Rattus norvegicus: one gene and its partners. The protein of the gene in region 4 purifies or fractionates together with the protein of the main gene of each other region. This does not show direct contact. Links are inferred from orthologs where the notes say so. Each region holds a gene or a part of one and is shown on either strand. Other genes may lie near its edges. The genes, in order: Ap3b2, Ap3s2, Rabl6 and Ap3m1.

Region 1 (5,401 bases), on a different chromosome or scaffold from region 4:
CGGAGGGGTAGAACAGATTAAAAGATGGACTTTTCATATGCAGCACCCCCTCCTCCACACGGTTTCGTTTTCATGAACAGAGCTGCCAAACAGAGTTCCTAAAGTTAGCCACGGTTTTCTAACTTTATTGCTGTACTGCCATGTCAGTCTGCCTGAATCTCCAGTAATGGCATTAGGGATATTTCAACCCAGCCTCACAGCAAAAACACAAGGGATTAATCAGTCAGCCATCCTTAGTCAGAGCGTTGGTGGGAAAACGGAATGGTGGGAAGGGCTAAAGAGCTCTGTGAGGGAGCCCATGAGGATAGTCTTGAACGTGGTCATGCAGTCTAACCTCTCTCCTTCTCCCTGAAGAAGGTCCAGTGCCCATTTGGAGTTTGATCTGGGTGAAGTTAAAGCACTGAGTTACAGATTCTTAAAGTCATGGGCACACAGCTAGAAAGATGGCTCAGAAACTAAGAGCACTTGCTGATCTTGTAGATGACCCAAGTCCAGTTCCTAACACCCACATTGGGCTGTGCACAATTGCCTGCAACTCTAGAGCCAGGAAATCTGAAACCACTGGATTCTACAAGTCACTGGCACATCTGTGCACATACTCCCCCAACACACACATGCACACACACACACATACACACATACACACACACACACACACACACACACACACACACACACACACCCATGAGTTTAAAGTAAAATAAATCTTTAAAAGGACATTGGCTGGGTGTTAGTAGTATATTCCTTTAATCCTAGCACTCAGGAGGCAGAAGCAGACAGATCTCTGTGAGTTCAAGACCAGCCTGGTCTACAGAGTGAGTGCCAGGACAGTCAGGGCTACACAAAGAAACCCTGTCTCAAAATAAACCAAACCAAAAGGAAAAACAAATATCAGGGGGATACTGTCAGGGCTGCTCCCTCACCTGGATGTTGTCTGTGAGTTTTGCCAAGTGTTTGATGATCTCGCCGTGCTGCGCTGGCTGCATTTGCAGCAGCTTCTTAATGACCACCACTGACTCAGCAACCACAAGCTCTAGGGGATGGGAATGAGAACACAAGCCCCAGACCAGTCAGATGGCCACACCCAGTTCTCAGGCAGCCCTCGGTTACAGCAACACCTGCACACTAACTGAAGCAGACAAACCAACAGGTTCACATTGTACCTAGACACGCAAGGGGATAACCACTGGCCAGCAAGGTCAGGCATGCAGGCACACAGACACCACCAAGACTGGACACTTCTAGGGGTTGGGGATTTAGCTCAGTGGTAGAGCGCTTGCCTAGCAAGCCCAAGGCCCTGGGTTCGGCCCCCAGTTCCGAAAAAAAAAAAAAAAAAAGACTGGACACTTCTCCAGGCAAACACTAACCATCACGGTTGGACAGAAGCTGCACCAAGCCATTGAGGCAGGTGTCACGGACTCGGCCTATGTTCGTTGCACATCGTCCGATGGCCTGGATCGTGGCCGCCACAAAGTCTTTGTCCATGCTGCGAATGTAGGTCTATGGACATCATGACACAGTAACATCTAGTAAGTAGTGACTACACAGTGAAGAGTTGAAGGGTGACCTTCAAGCAGACGAAGACTGTAACCCCCCTCGTATGATAACTCATTAAGCCTTGGGGGACAGTGATGTCTCCAAACCACATCCAGGGCCTAAAGCCAACAGAAGGCACTGAAAGGGGTCTAAGGAAACATTTCTCCAGCTTTGGGCTCTTTCAGAAAATGAGACCCAGCAGGGAAATTCTCACTAGATGCAGGGATCTGTAGGGCACCTCTCCGGGGCCTGGGAGCTAGAGGTTAGCCCGTAGCCTGTACCTGGAATTCCCGTAGAACAGTGGGGATGTTGGTCTCATTGGCCAGGTTGGTCAGCACTTCCAGCTGCAAGGAGAGGTAGAGGGGCAGAAAGTGGCCAGTGTGGCCAGCAGGTTTTCTGGGATTTTATTGCAAACAAACTTTACAGACTAGGAAGCAATACTCAGGACCGTTCTGCCCGTGCTTAGAATGACGAGGAAATGCTAGATCATGAACCGTCTTCAAAAACACAAGAAGGTCAATTTGCCTCCTCAGTGAAGTCCCTGACAAAGTACAGGTGAAGAAAGGTCACGCTGCCTCCTCCCTCCACGGAAAACTATTCCTTTGAGGACAGAAACCAAGGATGATCTGTGAATCTCTGGATGACCTGACCGTTCCTGCCTCAGAGTAATCGCAAACGCTGTTCCGTTTGTATGGAGCAGTTCTTCCCATTCCTGACCCTGTACTTAGGTAACTCACATCCGTTTATCAGGTCTCAGCTTGGAGTCCATCTTCCCAAGGAACGCTTCCTTGATCCAAATGATGGTGGCCCCATTCTAACTTAAAAAAAATTGTTTTTAATTTTCTGTGTATTGTTTTGTCTAAGCACCATGTGCATGCAATGCCCGCAGATGTCAGAGGAGGGCATTGGATCCTCTGGAACTGGAGTTACAGGTGGTCATGAGCCCGCATGTGAGGGCTAGGAATGGAACCCTGGTCCTGTGGAAGAGCAGCCAGCGCTCTTCAGCTGAGACACTGCTCCAGCCCTGATGTCTATTTATATTTCTCTGCACTCTTCGCTCTTGACATATTTCACAGATGGGTTTTCTCCATTTATCTTGGGATTAACTGCTTACTGCCTCTTTTGCCCCCCAACAAGACTACAAGCTCAATAAAAGCAGGATCTCTGACTCAGTTCCTTCACCTTGAATCCCTATGCTAACACCTGTTTGTTGCTGCTGTTTTGAGACAAGTGTCTCAAGTAGTCCAAATTGGCTTTGAACTCCATATGTGGCCAAGAATAATCTTGAATTTCTGATCCTTCTACTCCCACCACCTGAGCGACAGGATTATAGGCCTGTGCTACCTCATCCTGGTCATGGGATGCTTGGTATCAAACCCAAGGTCTTGTGCATATAAGCAAGGACTCTCCCCAGACCCCTTGGGTCCCTGGATCTAGTAACAGAAGTAGCAGCAGATGTGCTAACAAGTGAGAAAGTTGGTCACTGTTCGATGCCATCACTCAGTAAAAAGGCAATAGAATGGGAAAGGAACAGAGGCACAGGCTCTCAACACTGCCTGTTGGTGTATGTGTTCCAGAAAGTCTGAAGGGGCAGGTATGTGAGAGGCAGAACTGCAGAGTATGATGACTTCACACTAGTAACATCACTTCCTGGAGTCTACAATTTAAAATATAAAATGTAAGCGATACAGACTTTTGGGGGTGATTATGAAAATTAAGTTATTCTGGGAAGTGTCTGGTGCATACCACGCAGGCAGTTGTGTAACAGTTTCCTCCAAGACGGAAACATTCCACCCTGCTGGAAGCTCCTAGGGCAGGAAGGTAAACAACTCACAACAGCTTCAAGAAGTCCCTGAAACTGATCAGATTCTCTAGGCCCTGCCCTTCCACAGCAAGCGGATTAAGAGAGGCTGAGCTGCCAAGACTCAAAGGCAGCTCTAACTAAGCTGCAAAGTAGACTCTCTCAGCCAAGCTGAGCTGCAAAGACTCTCAGACCAGAGGAAGCAACAACCTGTGGAGCTGCCTGCAGGCTGTGCTGTGTGCTCCAGGTTCCCAGCTTTCCTGAGCTGTCCTCCATGCTGAGGTGGGCCTTGGTAATGCAGCCATTTTTGAGTGATTTCTGCTCCTGTAAGTAACCCCTCACTCCATACTCTTATAAGTAACGGCCCCCAAAAAAACCCTCATTGGTTCACCCAAGTTGGACTTGGGTAGTATCCGTACTTTGACTTCCTATCTGGGGTTAGTAGGCATGTGCTGCATATCCCCAGAAAAACATGTGTCAGGCTGATAAGCCAGGGGTAGTTTCCCACCACCTGAGCAAACACTTTCAGCCTAGAGATGTGCGCTGCTCCACAAAGAGGCAGGTGCCAATGTGTTCAGTATCAGTTAATCCAGCTAGTATTCAACCAGTTTAGCTGGAATCAGAGTCAAGCACAGTCTTGCACTCACCTTCAGGATCTTGATCTGGGTAGGATCCGTGGACCTAATGTAGAAGCTCTTCAAGTAGGGTTCAAACATTCCCTGGCAAGAGAGAGTATTCTTGGGGCTCTCCACCACAGTCCTAGATCTGCCTCTTCCAGAGACATCTGCCCCTCCCACCACAGACCCCACGACCCTTCAGCCTCAACGCTGTCATCTTTGCCTCAAGTTCCCCATCCATCTTAGATCTGACTTTCTCTTTAGGCACCGCCCCCCCCCCAGTGGCCCCTTCAGAATCTAGACCCTTCTGGTTTGCGTTTGGGACTCTTGAAAAACCTAGACCCTGCACACACAGGGTAATTGTAATTCCCCCATCTTTCCCTACAACCCTGCTCGTCCCACCCCAATTCCCACCAGCTCCCACAGAGCCCGCAGGAGCCAGAGCAGACCTTGAATGCATGCTCACCCTGCGCTTGATGGACATGGTGGCCACATTCTGGAGCACTACGTACTGCACCTCGCTGTGGAGAGGATGAGTTAGAGGTTTCTGAACCCCTCGGATGGGGGCAGGGGCGGTGGGTCGGGGAAGACGGGCTAGACAAAGAGTTGGGAGGAAGGAGCTGATGGGAGAAAAGCGGGATCTGGCGGCGGAGGGGGCGGGGCTTCCCGCACCTGTGGCTGCGCAGCAGGCGAACGAGAGCCTTGGCGATGACGCCCACCTCTGCCTTGGGCGCCAGGTGGAAGTAAAGCTGTGCCACCGCCATGACCACGGCGGCGCTGCGGCTCTGCAGTAGCGGCTTGGTGTTCCGCAGCAGCAGCCGGTGATCTGGATCCATTACATAGGGCTTCCGAGCAGGCAGCGCCGCAGTGGCCGCTTCCTCTGATCCAGGGCCTTTGGCCTCGTCCTCCTCAGAGCCATAGAAGGCCTTCTCAGGATTCTCCTCCAACAAAGACTCCTGAAAGAGATACGGCCGAGTGTGTGAACATCTTCCCTGGATGACCTCCCGCCCCTCCCTGCAGGGCTGGGGCCTCGCGCTTACGTTCTGCGTAGGGCTCAGGAACTGCGTTCGTGCATAACGCGTGAGCATGCTGATGATCACCACCTGGCCCCACTCCTCCACGTCGATGAGCAGGTTGCAGAGCTTCCGGTAGTTTTTGTGAATCAGGTCGATGCGTTCCGGACAGACCTCTTCAAAGGCCATCACTACACTGCCTGCCACCAGCTGGAGAAGCAAGGCAAGAGGATGTGAACGGGAAGGGTGGAGGACTCGAACCCTTCCCACCACTCCTCGTCCTGTCTTCCATAATACCCACCGTGGTCTTGTCTGCCAAAAGCTTCTCAATGACTTCTATCAGCTGGTCCTTCTGATCAGAATCCAAACTGAGGGAGAAACAATCGCTGGGAATGTCTTCCCTCCTGTCCCCAGGCTCCCCGACAGCTGCCCTA
Region 2 (5,401 bases), on a different chromosome or scaffold from region 4:
GCCCTTTCGTTGAGCCAGGTAGTTGGCTTCATTCTTTGATACCACCACCCCATCCTCAGGGTTTTTTTGACAGTTCCATCTATAGGTAGATAAAGACTTTAGTTGAAAAGATGTTTTGTTAGTTTAAGTAAGTGCTGATGCTTAGTGGACTTTGTGTTTCTGAGCTCACAGAGTTAATCTTTGACAACACCCTAGCAAATGTGAGCTTGCTGTGTTGTTCACATGGAAACCAGGAAGATAGTGATTGATTGGTTCCCATTTGTGGGCCAGTGATTAGCAAGTTTGCATTCATACATTCAGTAGATACTGAGAGGTTTTCAGAACTCACACTGAGGCAGCCACTTCCTCTCAGTGAATCAGTCCCCCTTTTATTTTTTGTGGCCCCCAATAGCTTTTAAGGAACTCTCTCACTGATTAGTCCCCTGTTTTTTGGTGTGCCTCCCTTAATGGCTTTTAAAGAACTGGCCACTTCAAAGCTAAGCTCAGTGGTGTAGAACAAAAGGGATTAAAATTTTTTTAATGTGTCTTTTTGGTTTAAGGAAGATTCAAGGTGAACATTTTTCTTATCCTGTTCAGTCCATAGTATAGTCCCCAGACCTGAAGCACTGCTGTTTGTGGGAGCGTGACAAAACAGACTCTGGTCCCAGCCCAGGCGGATTAAAGCAGAACCACATTTAAACACAATCCCCAGCCAACTCATCACACAGCCTCATGTGGGAAGACTGGCCAGAGGGTTTATATTATTTGTAGATTTATTTATTTTAAATGTATGAGTGTTTCCCTGCATGCATGTGTGTTCCACATGTGTACCTGGTGCCCTTGAAGAGTAGAAGTCAGCATGAATCCCTTGGAAATGGATTTATTGATGGTTGTCAGCCATCACCTGGCTACTGGGAATTGAACCCAAGTCTTCTGTAGGAGCAACAAATCTTAATGGCTGAACCAGTTCTCCAGTTCCTGATTTAGAGGGTTTTGTTGTTGTTTGTTTGTTTTCCAAAACAGGGTTTTTCTTTGTGGCCCTGGCTGATTTGGAACTCACTGTAGAACAAGCCGGCATCGAATTCACAGTAATCCACCTGCCTCTGCCACCCAAGCACTGGGATTAAAGGCATGCACCACTACTTCCCAGGTTCTGATTTAGATATTTTAACTACCTAGTTTCTGTTTGGTTTCTTCCTTATCCTGTCTGTTTTGAGACAGGCTCACTCTGTATCCCTGACTGACCTGGAACTTACTGTGTAGACCAGGCTGGCATTGAACTCACAGATATCCATCCACCTGCTTCTTCAAGTGCTGGTATTAAAGCACTGCCACTTCTTGCTTTCCCACCTCCTTATACAGGGTCTCACCTTCTTCCTGCCTTTACCTACCCAGGTGCTGGGATTACACACATGGTCTACTCAGTGGGTTTCCTTTCTCCTCTCCTCTCTACCCCTCCCCACTCTTCCCTCTTGTTTTGTTGAGATAGCCTGAACTTTACCATATAAACCAGGCTGCCCTTCAACTTAGTGACTGTCCTGTCTTAGGTGGCCTTGCAGGAGTGAACCACCATGCATGGCTTTTAAAAAAAAGTATGCTGTACCTATTATAAAACCCTTACATATAAATGGAAATCAAATGTGATTTAACATGTGATTCATTCACCATTGAGGTTCTCAAGATTACAAGTGACTATTAAATGAAAAGAGTTTATTTGTGGTTTTGTTTAGATGTCCCAAAATCAGATCTATAAATACATTTTCTGTTTTGCCAGTAATCTTTTGTCTGTGAGTAAAGCAACATCTCATATGTAGTACTGGTATTAAGTAAAAGTGACAAATTTATCTTTGAGACATGTGCATGATTACATCTTGACCTTCATACAGTTCTGGAGCTTTGAGACTCGTTACATACCCAGTATTGATTTTATTCAGAGGATTGGGGTCAGATTAAAAAAAAGATTTAAGGATTTTGTGAGATTATGAATTCCAATTCCTTGTTTGACTCTGAGCTTGTCTGTAAGATATAAAGGCTCGTGACTGAAATACCTAGGTAAATAAGCCCACGTTAATCACTGTAACCTTGTTTTCCCCATAGTCACTCTCTGCCTTCTGTGTGCTTTGTGTGCTTATGTATGAGCTTTTCCAGTTGTGCCCCATTTGGAACCCCTTGATTGGTTGATTGATTGATTGATTGTGCATTGGTGTGAGAGTGTCAGATTCCCTGGAACTGGAGTTACAGGCAGTTGTGAGCCTCCATGTGGGTGCTTGGAATTGAACCTGGGTCCTCTGGAAGAGTACCCAGCGCTCTTCATTGCTGATCTCTCTAGCCCAGAATCCCTTCTTTACCTATCTGCTCTTATTGATAGGTGCACGTTTTCCTCATCTGCCCCCTGATTTTTTTTTTTTGTTGTTGTTCCATAGCCAGAAGAAATTCAACAGCAGATTGTTCGAGAGACCTTCCACCTGGTCCTCAAGCGAGATGACAACATCTGTAACTTCTTAGAAGGTGGAAGGTAAACCATCAGCTTCAGGTGGCCGTCTCCCTCCTCCCCCAGCTCCACGTTGGGTGGCCTTGGTTGTTTTCATTTCTTCTAGTACTGCGGGGGTCAATGGTTACCTGATGCAGCATAACCTATTCTTTTGTCTGGTGGGGGCTGGGAGTGAGGGTCCAACACAACCATGTTTCTCTGTATAGTCCAGACTGGCCCTGAACTCAGGTCTGCTCGCCTCATAGTGCTAGGATTACAGGTGTGCACTGCTACACCAGACCCAAGTAACCTGCTCTTAGCATGAGCTGCCCAGGAAGACGCCTGATTCCTGGGAAACACTTGCACTGAGCTTCAGCCATCACTGAGATTTTTTCTTTCTCTTTTTATATAACTTATTTCTAATTTATGTGCATTGGGTGTCAGATCTCCTGGATTTGGAGTTTACAGATAGTTGTGAGCTGCCATGTAGGTGCTGGGAATTGAACCTGAATCCTCCAGAAGAGCAGACAGTGTTCTTAACCTCTGAGCCATCTCTGCAGCCCCTGGTCATCACTCTGTATGGTCACTGGCAGGATAGGCAAGAGAAGGGTGACAATGGAGTAAAGGGGCCTCAAGCTCCCCTTCCACACTCAGTTGCCATCATGTGGAGATGCCCGCTCTTCTTTGTTAGGCCCATTCCCGTTCTTTGATAAGTTTACTTAAGACCTGGGTTCTCAACTGCTACTGCCGTCTCCCACAGTTTGATTGGTGGCTCTGACTACAAACTGATTTACCGGCACTATGCTACCCTCTACTTCGTGTTTTGTGTGGATTCATCAGAGAGTGAACTTGGGATCTTGGACCTCATCCAGGTATGTGAAGTCACAGACTAATGGCAACAACTCTCTGAGTTTGCGTGGGGATGGGGGCATTCAGTAACTGTCCTCTGGGTCTTTTTTTTTTTCAGTCTCATTGATGTCCATAAGAGTTACCAGGGGTTGGAGAGATGGCTCAGCGGTTAAGAGCACTGGCTGCTTTTCTAGAGAGCCTGAGTTCAATTCTCAGCAACCACATGGTGGCTCACAACCATCTATAGTGAGATCTGTTGCTCTTTTCTGGCCTGTAGGCATACATGCATGCAGGCAGAATGCTGTATACATAGTAATCTTTAAAAAAAAAAAAAGTTTCCAGACGTCCACCAGGTGGTGCTCTGGGAAAAGGCCTGAGAACCTTCCGGGACTTCGATTTGAATGGTGGTTCCTACCCAGCCTTCACACTGCCCTCGGTTATTAATATTTTGAATTTTCTTTCCGCTCTGAAACCATATTACATTTATGTATTTATATTTCCTGTGTGCAAGACACTTCCTGTGTGCAAGACTTGTGTTTGTGCAGATACTGTGGAGGCCAGTGGGTGCCTTCCTCACTTGCTCTCCACCTTACTGTCTGAGATAGGGTCTTTCACTGGACCTGGAGCCACTGACCTGCTAGACAGACTAGACTTGCCAGCAGATCCTGGGCATCATCCAGCCTTTGCCAGGATTTGCTGCAGAGGCTTTTTGTTTGGGTTCTGGAAGTTGAAGCTCACGGCCTTTATTTGTGCAGCAAGCACTTTACAGACTGAGCCATCTCCCCAATCTTAAGTATTTTACATTTTAATTTTATTTGCAATGGCGGCCTAAAGCCAGGGCATGGAACATACATAGTGCCTTACTCCCTAGTTTACTTTCATAACCAGTTCCAAGAACTGGGGTCCTCGTAACGAAGAGTCTAAAGGTGCACAGGAAGCAAAAGCAGCTCTTACACAACAGAGTGGAAGCTGACAGGTGAGCACAGTGGTGGTGCAGCCCAGCCCTCAGGAGGCAAGGCAGGAGCATTACGGGGAGTACAGGGCATTATGGGGAGCATGGTGCCCAAGGCAGGGGTATTACGGGGAGCACAGGGGCATTATAGGGAGCCTGGTGCCCAAGGCAGGGGTATTACGGGGAGCACAGGGGCATTACAGGGAGCACGGTGCCCAAGGCAGGGGTATTATGGGGAGCACAGGGGCATTACAGGGAGCACGGTGCCCAAGGCAGGGGTATTATGGGGAGCACAGGGGCATTACAGGGAGCATGGTGCCCAAGGCAGGGGTATTTATGGGGAGCACAGGGGCATTACAGGGAGCACAGTGCCCAAGGCAGGGGTATTATTGGGAGCACAGGGGCATTATGGGGAGCATAGTGCCCAAGGCAGGGGTATTACGGGGAGCACAGGGGCATTATAGGGAGCCTGGTGCCCAAGGCAGGGGTATTACGGGGAGCACAGGGGCATTACAGGGAGCACGGTGCCCAAGGCAGGGGTATTATGGGGAGCACAGGGGCATTACAGGGAGCATGGTGCCCAAGGCAGGGGTATTACGGGGAGCACAGGGGCATTACGGGGAGCACGGTGCCCAAGGCAGGGGTATTATGGGGAGCACAGGGGCATTACAGGGAGCACGGTGCCCAAGGCAGGGGTATTATGGGGAGCACAGGGGCATTACAGGGAGCATGGTGCCCAAGGCAGGGGTATTATGGAGAGCACAGGGGCATTACAGGGAGCACGGTGCCCAAGGCAGGGGTATTATGGAGAGCACAGGGGCATTACAGGGAGCATGGTGCCCAAGGCAGGGGTATTACAGGGAGCACAGGGGCATTATGGGGAGCACAGTGCCCAAGGCAGGGGTATTATAGAGAGCCCTGGTTGCCTTTCGTGAGTTCTCGGTCTTGAAGATGAAAGAGTGTTTAAACAGACTAAGAACAGAACTGCATGGGACAAGACTGCTGGAATTTGAAAGAAAAAACAACAGGACAGACATGCTGGAAACCTCAGGGGCCACCAGATGGGGAAATGGAGAAATCAGAAAATCAGGTACCAGCCCTTGCATAGAAGAGAGCTGGAGACCCCATCTCAAACAAGATAGTGAGGACCA
Region 3 (5,401 bases), on a different chromosome or scaffold from region 4:
TGTGATGTGGCCATCTGGGCTTTTCTTAGTGTAGCACATGTTCAGTTTTAAAGTAGAGCCCTCGTGAGTCTGAGGCATGCCTGCTTGTTAGTCCTGAGTGTCGACTGCATCATTCTTGTGTATTTCTTTGTACTTTTTTTTTTTCCGGAGTTGGGGACCAAACCCAGGGCCTTGCTCGCTAGGCAAGCGCTCTACCGCTGAGCTAAATCCCCAACCCCATTTTTTTTTTTTTTTTTTTTTTGTCTGTGTGTACTTTTCAAAGTATAAACAAACCCCAGGTCTCTTGGTCTGCAGTTAACTCCCACTTTTTTCATTTGGTTTGTTTGCTCTGTGCTGAAAGGACCCCAGTGTGAGCCTGGGACAAGCCAGGCAGTGCCTCTTGTCCACCAGGGCCTCTCTAGGAACACAGTCCTGTTCTGTGCTCCTTACACAGCCTAGAAGCCGCTGTATTTTAAGATTAAGTTTTAATGCAATAAGCCATGTTGACTGACAGCCATGGCAGCTGGATCAGCTTTGTTCATCAAACTAGAAATGCATGTTTTACCCAGTTAGTACCTGGTAGAGTTTCTCACCTAAAGTTGCCCCTGAAGCTCCACAGACACCGTAAGCACCTGTTTCCATGCTTCTGTGGCCTGATACGTATTGTAGCCAACAAAAGTGCTAGTGACCAAAGATTCGGAACAGCAGGCGGCACTTCCTGGTGTAGCTCCACGTGGCTTATATCCTCCAAGTCATGAAGCTGACCTTGCAGGCAGCCAGACCTCGGGTCTCTGACAGAGACAGGCTGTAGAATGGGGAAGAGGCATATTCAGCTATGTCCGCTTCCTCTGCAGAGGGAGACATTGCTGAGGCAGCTGGAGACAAACCAACTAGACATCGATGCAACACTAGAGGAGCTGTCCGTGCAGCAGGAGACCGAGGACCAGAACTACAGCATGTACGTGAGCCAGCGTCTATGCCATGTAGGCCCTGACTACATGGAGTGGGAAGGATGGGTCCTACACCCTGTTGCCTCATGTCCACAAATAGGAGCCGGGGCCAAGCTTTGGGCTGTACCTATGAGGCAGTGGAAAAAGCAGCATATACAGTCAGCTTGAGTGTCCTTCAGCCAAGACCTTGGTACTACTCAGTGTAGAACAGTATGGGACGCATCGGACTAACATGGCTCAGCAGCTCCTCTCAGCCTTCTAGGACGTGTCCATGCTGCCCAAAGCTCTTCCTGTTCATCTATTGGGGTTTAGTTATTAATATGAGCTAACTAGTAAAATATTTAGTCAGATCAACATTTGTCTAGAACAAGTAGATTAATATTTTGAACTGAGCTATGCTGACCTGAGGAACAGCCTCAATCTCCCTACATTTCCCTTTCAGTTCTTGTAGAAAGTAAGGGCACATGCTCCTGAAGGTGGGCTGTGTCAGCTCTGGCCCTCTCCACCACCAAGTACTTTGGAGCCTACAGAACCTACAAAGTGCTTAGACCTGTGGTATTGTTCCTATGTGTGGATCAGCACGTGCCTGGATGAGAGCCACTCCTCTTCTCAGGTTGCCATATCTGTCACCATGCACAAAGCTTAAGTGGAGGGTCAAGGACCTCAACATAAAACCAGATACATTGAATCTAATAGAAGAGAAAGTGGGAAAGAGCCTTGAACTCATTGGCACAGGGGAAATTTCCTAAACAGAACTCCAGTGGCTCATGCTCTGACCACCTCGCTAACCATAACCAGTCCCACTTCTTCATCCCTATTGGCCATGTGGGGACTGCCGAGTGCTACTGGCCTGCCCGGATCCCATAGGCATGAGTGGTCCTGAACCTCTGCTGAGCAACTCGGGTCCCCAGGCTGAAGAAGTGCCCGAGTAGAGGGAGAGCATGTCCTTGGGAGCAGCCATGCTAAAGAGACAAGATAGGCAAGGGAGTGGTCTGGGTACCAAAGGCTGGGACAGTGGACTGGCAGAGGACCATGTCCTCTGCCTAATAGTATCAATATAAAAGGCACACTGAGACCTGAAAGCCATGGAGAGAGGGCCAAGAAAAAACTGGTTCCTCACTCCCTGCCCTTTTACCCTCCCAGCTTCCTTGAAATGATGGAGGCTCGAAGTCGAGGCCATGCATCTCCTTTGGCAGCCAACGGGCAGAGCCCATCCTCAGGCTCCCAGTCGCCAGTCGTGCCTCCAAGTGCTGTATCCACAGGGAGTTCCAGCCCCAGCACACCCCAGCCTGCCCCTCAGCTGTCTCTAGGTGTCTCCTCCACCTGTCCCTCAGCACCATCTCCTGCACCCTCTTTGGAGGCCACGCCCTCCTCTGTACACCCTCCAGCCCCAGCTCCAGCCCAGCGCCGCAGTATCATCTCTCGGCTGTTTGGGACCTCACCAGCTGCAGAAGCGACCATTTCACCTCCAGGTAAGCCTGGGAGCAGCTCTTGTGTGTGAATTGGGGCCACCTTCTGACATTTTGAGCCTCCTATTCCTCACCTGAATGTCCCTGTGCCCCTGAAAAGCCACATGGACCAGCCACTCCTTAGCCTGGTTCTAAAATAGCCAAGTCCCAATCCTTCAGGCACAGTTTTGGGGCTTGCCTAGCATGGAGGACCAAATAAGAAGGAAGCAGCATTTCTCTGTAGAGCCAGCTCCAGCCCTAGAGGCTCCAGTGAGAGTCCAGAATGTTGAGGATTTTGTCCCTGAAGATGGCCTTGACCGAAGCTTCCTGGAAGACACAACCGTGCCTAAAGACAAGAAAGTTGGAGCCAAAGGGCCACAGCAGGATAGTGACAGGTAAGGGTAAAAAATTGATAACAGCTCAAGGACCAGCCAACAGAGCTTCCCCATCCCATTCATACCTGGACCTTAGAGACACCATTGGGGTTGTGGACACAGCTCTCTGCTGCTTGCAAGGTTGGCAGTCAGCTCTGAGGACGAAAGCTATGGCTGGAAGAAATGAGGGAAGGGCTTAGATCATCTCAAAGCCCACTCCGGCTGATCACTGCCAGCCGCCCTGGGAATACAGACAAACAGCTTACCCAGGAGTAGGACAGAGTTTATGACCACAGCAAACTACAGCTGAACATTGAGCTGAGTCTTCTAGGATAGCAGGAGCTTTGGCAGATGGCCTACCAGGGACATAGGCCTCTTGAGGCCCCAGTCTATGTTGAGGTATAGCAAAAGTCACCTGGTTCTCCAGACCTTGAGAAACAGGCCCTGGCCAGGTCTGACTTCCTGCAGCTAGCCCTTCTCACAACCCCCTCTCTAAACAACATCTGTCTATAGTTAAGCCTGCGTCTACTCCCTCTAACACATCAAATGTTGAAAGACTATTACTGTCTCCAGCATCACCATTCTGTATGGGACCAAGCTTCCCTTCCAGAAACAAACAAATTAGAGGCTTCTTTCTGGACTCCTCCCACTGATTCCCTCATTGGCCAGCAACAGGCAGTACCTTCCTCACTCTTTAGTCCACCTGTTCTCAGCAGAATGCCCAGAAGCTCTTGCCACTGGAATGTGGTACTACAGACAGGGCAGCTCTAGAGGCAGCGAGTCGGGTGGGTGATCAGCAACACACAGCCCCCTCAGAACTTCTGATGGCCAGTCCTTCTTTGCAGTGATGATGGAGAGGCCCTAGGAGGGAACCCAATGGTGGCAGGTTTCCAGGATGATGTGGACATAGAAGACCAACCACATGGCCAATCCCTGCTGCCCTCAGACCCCATTCCCAGTAAGAACATCAGTCTCTCAAGTGAGGAGGAAGCTGAAGGATTGGCTGGCCACCCCAGAGTGTCTCCTCAGCAGTGCTCAGAGCCTGAGACTAAATGGTATGGGCTGGGATTCCCAGAGTGTGGCCAGCTGAGGTGGTGGCAGCCCAGAGTGGCCTCAGAGCTCCTGACATTTCTTCTTATATGAAGGTCCTCCACCAAGGCCTCACATCCACAAAAGAAGGGAGCCCCCACTCGAGGCATAACACCGTGGTCAGATGGTCTTAGCACTGGCTTGGGGCCCGAACTCAGCAGTACCAAGCCACCCACTGATGGTTCTCAAAGACCCCAGGAAGGGAAGGACAAACAGGTGTCATCAGAGAGCGATCCTGAGGGTCCCATTGCTGCCCAGATGCTGTCATTTGTCATGGATGACCCTGACTTTGAAAGCGATGAGTCGGACACCCAGAAGAGAGTGGTAAGGAGAGGCTGCTGCGTGGGCAGCTCGGGCTCCATCCTTCGAGAGATGGAGGACAGTCAAGGTCTGTTTCCCAGAGGAGGGTCTGAGGAGATGCAGGAGAATGTTCTGGGCTCCAGTTCCCCACTGCACAGCCCTTTCTTATTTACTGTGTGTCTGAAGCCTGATGGAGAAAGTGAATGAGAGTTCATGGGAGGGGGCCCATTGTCTACATGAAGGCACTGCTGGTATTTCTGAATCTGGGTCAGCTTAGCCCCTCCCATCTGGCCCCATCCCTAGCCCCTGGAGTCCGAAGTGGACTTGCCAACCTCTCTTCCCAGATCCCATGTAGTGGTCAGGGGACAATAGGCCTACCAACTGCTCTCTTTCCAGGGCAGGTTCCCAGTAAGAGAAGACCTCTCTGATGTAACTGATGAGGATACTGGCCCTGCTCAGCCACCCCCACCCTCCAAGTTCCCAGTCCCTGCTTTCAGGCTGAAGAATGACTCAGATCTCTTTGGGCTGGGCCTGGAGGAGCTGGGACCCAAGGAAAGCAGTGAGGAAGGTAGGAGGGCCTGGGTTTGCCCCTCTCCTTGGAACCTGTTAGGACTTGGAGGCCTTGTCTGTGGTGCTCCTATGTTTAGAATTTACACTGCCTATGGTTTCTCTTTCGTCATAGTCATTAGCTGTGAGAGGTGAAACTGTCACACCAGCTGGCAAACATGCACCCAAATATGGTCCTGAATAGTCACCTAAGACTGTGACTGTCACACTCTATCCATGGTTCCCTATGGGTCCTCACCTCTCCAAATGTTCTGCCAACATTCCATGCTTTCAGGTGTCCCAAGCCTGTGGGGCAGAACGATTTTAGGAGAAAGGGAGAAAAAAACAAACAGACAGACAAACCCACAGGCTAATAAAGGTTACAACAGGGAAAATTCCTGGGAACCTCAGACCCAGGCTTCCTGGAGAAGTGCTTGGAGCTACAGCCCAGGGACTTGGGCCTACTCAGCCCCAGCAGACAGCTTAGCTTAGGACTGTTACTGTCAGGTTCTCAGCCCCAGAGGGAGGGGAAGAAATTACTCACAGGCTTGATCAAGACTCACCAGCACAAAAATACATAGCTTGCCTGTGGAACCAGGCCCCGTTGAGGATGGGGTCTCTGCAGAGGGCCCCTGCCTGCCTACAAAATGGTAGCAAGTAGGAACTCAGCTGTCTTTCTTGTGCAGATAAAGACAGCAAACTTCCCTCCAAGGAG
Region 4 (5,401 bases):
GTCCCCCCATAAGTAGCATTTACCAATGTGTTTCTATTTTGGTAATTATGATTTTCTTACAGCTGTAAAGCCAGGTGTAGGGCTGGAATTTGTAATCCTAGCATTTGAGAGACAAAGTAAGAGAACAACAGGAAGTCTGAGGCCAGCCTGGTCAGAGTGAGTTCCAGGCCACGCACAGCTACACGGTAAAACCCGTTTTCATAAAGCAATAAATAAAAAATTAGGACAGGAAACAAGACAGGGAGCACAGTCCTGTAATTCTAACACTTAGGAGGCCAAGGCATCACTAGTTTAAAGCCAGCCTGAGCCGCTTAGGAGAGCTGTCTCTAAAGACAAAACAAAATACACACAAAAGCACCTCACAAACATAAAATATGGTTTCAGGGCTGGAGATGTAACAGGCAGAGTGTTTGCCTAGAATGCATAAAACCTTTTGTTTTAAGTCCAGCATTGAATGGTGGAGTGTGTACTTTAACCCCAGCACTTGTGAGGAAGTGGAGGCAGGAGGATTGCAAATTCAGTCATTCTTGACTACACAGCAACACAATACATTCCACTCTAGATTAGTTTTTAAAGACAAGATATGTGTATAGTCCAGGATGGCTTAGAACTGGGGATCCTCCCACATCAGCCCCCCAAATGCTAGAGAAGTGTGTGCAGCTAACAAGATTAACATTAGTTTTAGTCTATTTATTGCTGGTGATCCTGTCTCCAGCCTGTTACTTTCCAAGTGTTTTAGAAAAACACTGCTTTAATCATATTATTTCCCTGTTCAGAAACCTTTAGTGCTCCCTGCTTGTTTTCTGATAAAAGTTAAATGTTTTTTTTAGGCCCAGCACAAGTGTTCTCCCATCTTGGCTTCCTGTCCTGCTGGGACGGGAAGAGGCGTAGGCCAATTGCACCTTCTCCGAATGTCCTTCAGCGCTCAGTTATGAACAGCTCTACTTCTGCTCGAGGGGCTGACACAGCTCAGCCTCCCACTTTATGTGTATTTTCCTCATAAGTGCTCTTACTTATCTTACTCCACATTCTACTGATTCTGCTGGGTCCTGTGCTAGGGCCACTTGGTAGTTCAAGAAAGATTACTTCAACTATTGAACCATTCTTTGGTATGTGTACATAGGTGTGGCACTAGGAAACAGACTCAGGGTTTTAGTTTAATAATCAAGACTCTGTATCCGTGAACTTACAACTGCTCTCCTTTAGTTGCCCTAGTAGTTGGGATAACAGGTGTGCACACCACATCCAGCCTGAACAATTCTCTTATATGTCATCATCCCATGCTATAGTTTTACACTACACATTAGTAATTTTTTCCTATCCATTTTTTTTCTTAAAAGTTAAAAAGTATGAAATGGGCTGGAGAGATGGCTCAGTGGATAAAAGTGCTTGCTATACAGACATGAGGACCTGCCAGATCCCCGGACACACATAAAAAGATGGATGTGGCTATGTGCCGCACATGGCTAGGGCTGGGAGCCAACCTAGCTCCAGGTTCAGAGGACCTCTTCTCCTCAACAAAGAACTCGGGTGAGAGCAACAGAACATGACACCTAATGTCCTCCATGCACATGCACACATTCATAATATATATTTTAAAACATATACGGCAAAAATGAGGATGGCTGGCTCCTTAGCTAAAAATAGTCAATGTGAACATTTTAGCATTTTTCTCTTTGTAAATATCTCTCTCTCTGTCTGTCTGCTTGCCTGTCTGTCTACCTACTTATCTCTCTGTCTGTCTGTCTACCTACCTACCTACCTACCTACCTACCTACCTACCTACCTACCTATGTATCTATCGAGTTTGTACTGTTTCCCCCACCAAACACACTTCGTACTGTGAGAGATCTGCAGTGCCTCACTACAGTGTCCATGAAATACCACAGTGCTCTTATTTAAACCGTTTTCCCAGAGTGTAATTCCCCAACGTTAAAAGGACAACCAGAGATTTGGCTGGAGAGGTATATAGCATTCAGTAAGAATCTTCCTTTATTAGACTTTTTTTTCTTTTGCATGGAATCCCATTATGTAGCTCTGGCTAGCCTGGAACTCACTCTGTAGACTAGGCTGGTCTCAAATTCTCCTGAATGCTAGGATTAAAGGCTTGTGCCACCATGCCCGCTTTTTGTAGATTTAATCGAAGGATGAACTGAATATACTGAATTTCTAGATATGGCCTAGAATTATACCCAATTGAAAGCTTATTTATAAAAAAGCATAAGGCCCAATATGCATGACATCTACTAATGATCTAATTTTCTACTGACTAGTTTTTCTTTCTCTGAAGTATTGTGCATTGAACCCAGCAACAGGAAAATGAGCTGTATAACCCTAAAAGTCCTTTGTCCTTCAAGACTGAGCCTCTTTCAATAAACAAAACAAAACAAATTTCTCATTCTATATACCAAATTGGCCCTGAACTTAGCAATTCCCAAGTGATATGATTACACATGTGAGCTGCACCTGACATATTATCTGTTTCTGTTACTGTTCTCCACCTTCCAAAAGAAAAGGGGGCCTGGCCAGATGGGCCAGTGGGTAAAGGCATTTGATGCTATGCCTTAGGACCTGATTCAATCTCCAGATTGCATGTGGTAGAGGGGGAGAACCAACTCTCACTGTCTTCTGACCTCTATGTGTACACTATGGCATGTGTGCATTCATGTGCACACACACTTACACACCGAGAGAGAGAGAGAGAGAGAGAGAGAGAGAGAGAGAGAGAGAGAGAAGAGATATACATTCATTTAAACATTATTGTTAACTTTAATTTTGGCCAAACTGGACTGCCCTAATAGTCTGTCATATGAGCAAAATGAGCTGTTCATACAGTTTCAATGGATCAGTTCCTAGCAGTGTTTTCATTTTTCATACCTGTAATAGAATTGACGACAGAACGTAGAATTGTTGGTGGTTTAATCAGTTCTTTCAGAATGTTAGATTCGGTAGCCAGTGGGAATCCATTGTCTAACATTTCTTCCAAGAGCTCATACACTATGACCACATTATCCTTAATTGCAGCCTCTGAACACTCACCAAAGTAGTCCTAACAAAACAGTCATGGTGTTGAACAAGAGAAGGCAGGGAGGAAGGCTTGCTGTTCTTAATCCCCTTTGTAAACTACTGGAGTAAACTAATAGTAGGTTAACTCATGGTTAATGAGGCTAGAAATATATAGGCTTGAAAAAAATTCTCTATGGAAGTCCTAACATTTCTCTTCAATATTTTCTTATTGTATTTATACTGAGCTGATTCCTACTATATCATGCCAGAAAGTACTGAGACATTAATCTGGAATGTGAGGCATAAACTTCATTTGCCCTATTAACCCACACCCACACACTTACAGAGCTTTAAGCCATTTGGTTTACTCGTCAAAACAATAGGAAATAGACAACAGAAATATAAAGGATCTCATGATCAATAAAAACTTTGTGATGATCCAGAGAATACTTGTTGGAGGGCACTCCTGTCTCCTCATGATATAATTTGCCGCACATAAAAAACAATGAGTAGAGTGGCGATGTGTGCTACCGTATACCCTCAGCACGTGTTTATGAGATATGTTTAGTTGCAAAGAGAAGTCAGACAGTACACAGAAACTTCAATAACCAGTGTGTGTGTGTTTGTGTGTGTGTGTGTGTGTGTGTGTGTGTGTCTGTCTGTCTGTCTCCTTGAACTATCTTGGGTGATTTAGTTTCAACAGTTTGACAGATACAAACCTGAAAAGTGTCAGCAACTCGATGCAGAAACTCAATTACAAAGAGAGGTGGCACTTCAGTCTGTATCACAGACACAAAGAAGAGCTTATCCCGGTAGATACTAATGAGGTAGTGGTGAGGTGTTGAAATGACAGGTGGTACATTTTCAACATCAGCAGCTTTCTCCTGAGCTTCAAAGAAATAGTCACACACAGATTGGCTTACAACGCTCTTCCAGTGTTTTTCTAGAAATATGTCGCCAGAACAGTTGATGAGAAATAGACTGTGGATCATTTTCTGTGAAGGAAAACAAAGGGGGCTGGAGGTTATACTTATTGTACTCTGAAAATGCACAGTTGCAGTAGATGGCAGTGAATGCAGAGACTCACCACTGGATGAAGCACAGAGAGTTACTTTGGAGCACTCAGCCTGAAATAGGAGGTCTATCAAACCCCTCCCCTCAAGACTCAGGGAACTGTGTATAGGAGAGAAGAGTCCAAGAACCAGAAGTGGTGGAGACTCCAAGGAAAGAAACAATATCTTCCAGGCGCAACAGAGATGATACACATAAGAACTCGTATAGACTCTGACACCACACAAAGACCTCCACAAATTCAAACTAGACAAAAACCCCAGGGTAGAGAAAGGGACGCAGACACAAAGTCCTACTCCTAACCAAGAAGTGTTTGCAACTGATACATGCTAGGAAAGGGAAAATTGTTTTTGTCCAATACAGTATCACTGGGTAGGGTAGGCACCATCCACAGGAGTAGTTGGCTAACACAAGGATGACTCTGTGTATGTGTGAATGTATGTATACACATTCTGTTTTGTTTTGTTTTGTTTTTTTTGTCCTACTGTGTTTTTTATTTGATTTTCTTTCTTCCTTTTCATTTTTAAGGGGAGAGAACATGAAGTTGGAAAGGTAGGGAGGAGGGAAGGACCTGGGTAGGGGAAGGAGAAAGAATATAATAAAAATATATTAAATGAAAAAATATCATTGTCACATTGCCTTGACATAAAAACCAAAGGCAATGTAAATAATAGCAGATTAATATTACTTAAGAACTCAGATGGAAAAGTTCTTAATTCTAGAAAACTAAATTCAGCAACTATTTTTTAAAAAATACAGTTAATTCCAAGAATGCAAGTTTATTTAACACAAGATAGTTAATCAGTATAATATACAATATATGCCAGTTAGTTCTGTTAACTTGACACAATCTAGGTAAATCTGGAAGAGAAAGTCTAATTGAGGAATTCTCTCCATTAGACTGTTCTGTGGGCATATCTGTTGGTCATTTTCTTGATAAATGATAAATATAGGAGGACCCAGCCCATGGTGGGTGGTATAAGCCCTAGGCATGTGGTCCTGGGTGGTGTGAGAAGCTGAGCAAGCCACTAAGCAGCATTCCTCTGTTCCTCCATGGTTCCTGCCTCTGCATTTTCTTTATTTCCTGACCTGACTTCCCTCAATGGATAACTATGATTAGGACGGTTAAGCCAAATACACCCTTTCTTCAAAAGTTGCTTTTGGCCATGGCATTTATCATACTGACATCTGGTCATGATATCACTATCGATAGATATTATAGTCAATGTGCTGTTCTGGCTTGATTTATGAGGAGAGTTGGAGGGTATGCTCCGCATAGAAACCAAAACATGCTCTTGTTTTTATGATGAGAAAGTTTAATTGA

The links.
Region 1: the proteins of Ap3m1 (region 4) and Ap3b2 purify together in Homo sapiens (co-immunoprecipitation; 3 studies listed by BioGRID and IntAct, counting the BioPlex papers as one, with this or other methods). This does not show direct contact. The link is inferred for Rattus norvegicus from reciprocal best matches to the Homo sapiens genes AP3M1 and AP3B2.
Region 2: the proteins of Ap3m1 (region 4) and Ap3s2 purify together in Homo sapiens (co-immunoprecipitation; 3 studies listed by BioGRID and IntAct, counting the BioPlex papers as one, with this or other methods). This does not show direct contact. The link is inferred for Rattus norvegicus from reciprocal best matches to the Homo sapiens genes AP3M1 and AP3S2.
Region 3: the proteins of Ap3m1 (region 4) and Rabl6 purify together in Homo sapiens (co-immunoprecipitation; 3 studies listed by BioGRID and IntAct, counting the BioPlex papers as one, with this or other methods). This does not show direct contact. The link is inferred for Rattus norvegicus from reciprocal best matches to the Homo sapiens genes AP3M1 and RABL6.

The regions. Positions count from the first base shown.
Region 1 is NC_086019.1:144,833,055-144,838,455, forward strand, and holds part of Ap3b2 (AP-3 complex subunit beta-2), read right to left. Parts: intron 5,336-5,401; coding exon 5,269-5,335; intron 5,178-5,268; coding exon 4,995-5,177; intron 4,911-4,994; coding exon 4,627-4,910; intron 4,476-4,626; coding exon 4,421-4,475; intron 4,057-4,420; coding exon 3,985-4,056; intron 1,881-3,984; coding exon 1,818-1,880; intron 1,501-1,817; coding exon 1,368-1,500; intron 1,034-1,367; coding exon 924-1,033; intron 1-923.
Region 2 is NC_086019.1:143,261,013-143,266,413, reverse strand, and holds part of Ap3s2 (AP-3 complex subunit sigma-2), read left to right. Parts: intron 1-2,402; coding exon 2,403-2,494; intron 2,495-3,209; coding exon 3,210-3,321; intron 3,322-5,401. UniProt on the Homo sapiens protein: Part of the AP-3 complex, an adaptor-related complex which is not clathrin-associated. The complex is associated with the Golgi region as well as more peripheral structures.
Region 3 is NC_086021.1:28,801,888-28,807,288, reverse strand, and holds part of Rabl6 (rab-like protein 6), read left to right. Parts: intron 1-833; coding exon 834-937; intron 938-2,072; coding exon 2,073-2,401; intron 2,402-2,621; coding exon 2,622-2,772; intron 2,773-3,596; coding exon 3,597-3,806; intron 3,807-3,896; coding exon 3,897-4,164; intron 4,165-4,536; coding exon 4,537-4,708; intron 4,709-5,372; coding exon 5,373-5,401. UniProt on the Homo sapiens protein: May enhance cellular proliferation. May reduce growth inhibitory activity of CDKN2A.
Region 4 is NC_086033.1:3,301,399-3,306,799, reverse strand, and holds part of Ap3m1 (AP-3 complex subunit mu-1), read right to left. Parts: intron 4,002-5,401; coding exon of another isoform or gene 3,999-4,001; coding exon 3,726-3,998; intron 3,050-3,725; coding exon 2,878-3,049; intron 1-2,877. UniProt on the Homo sapiens protein: Part of the AP-3 complex, an adaptor-related complex which is not clathrin-associated. The complex is associated with the Golgi region as well as more peripheral structures.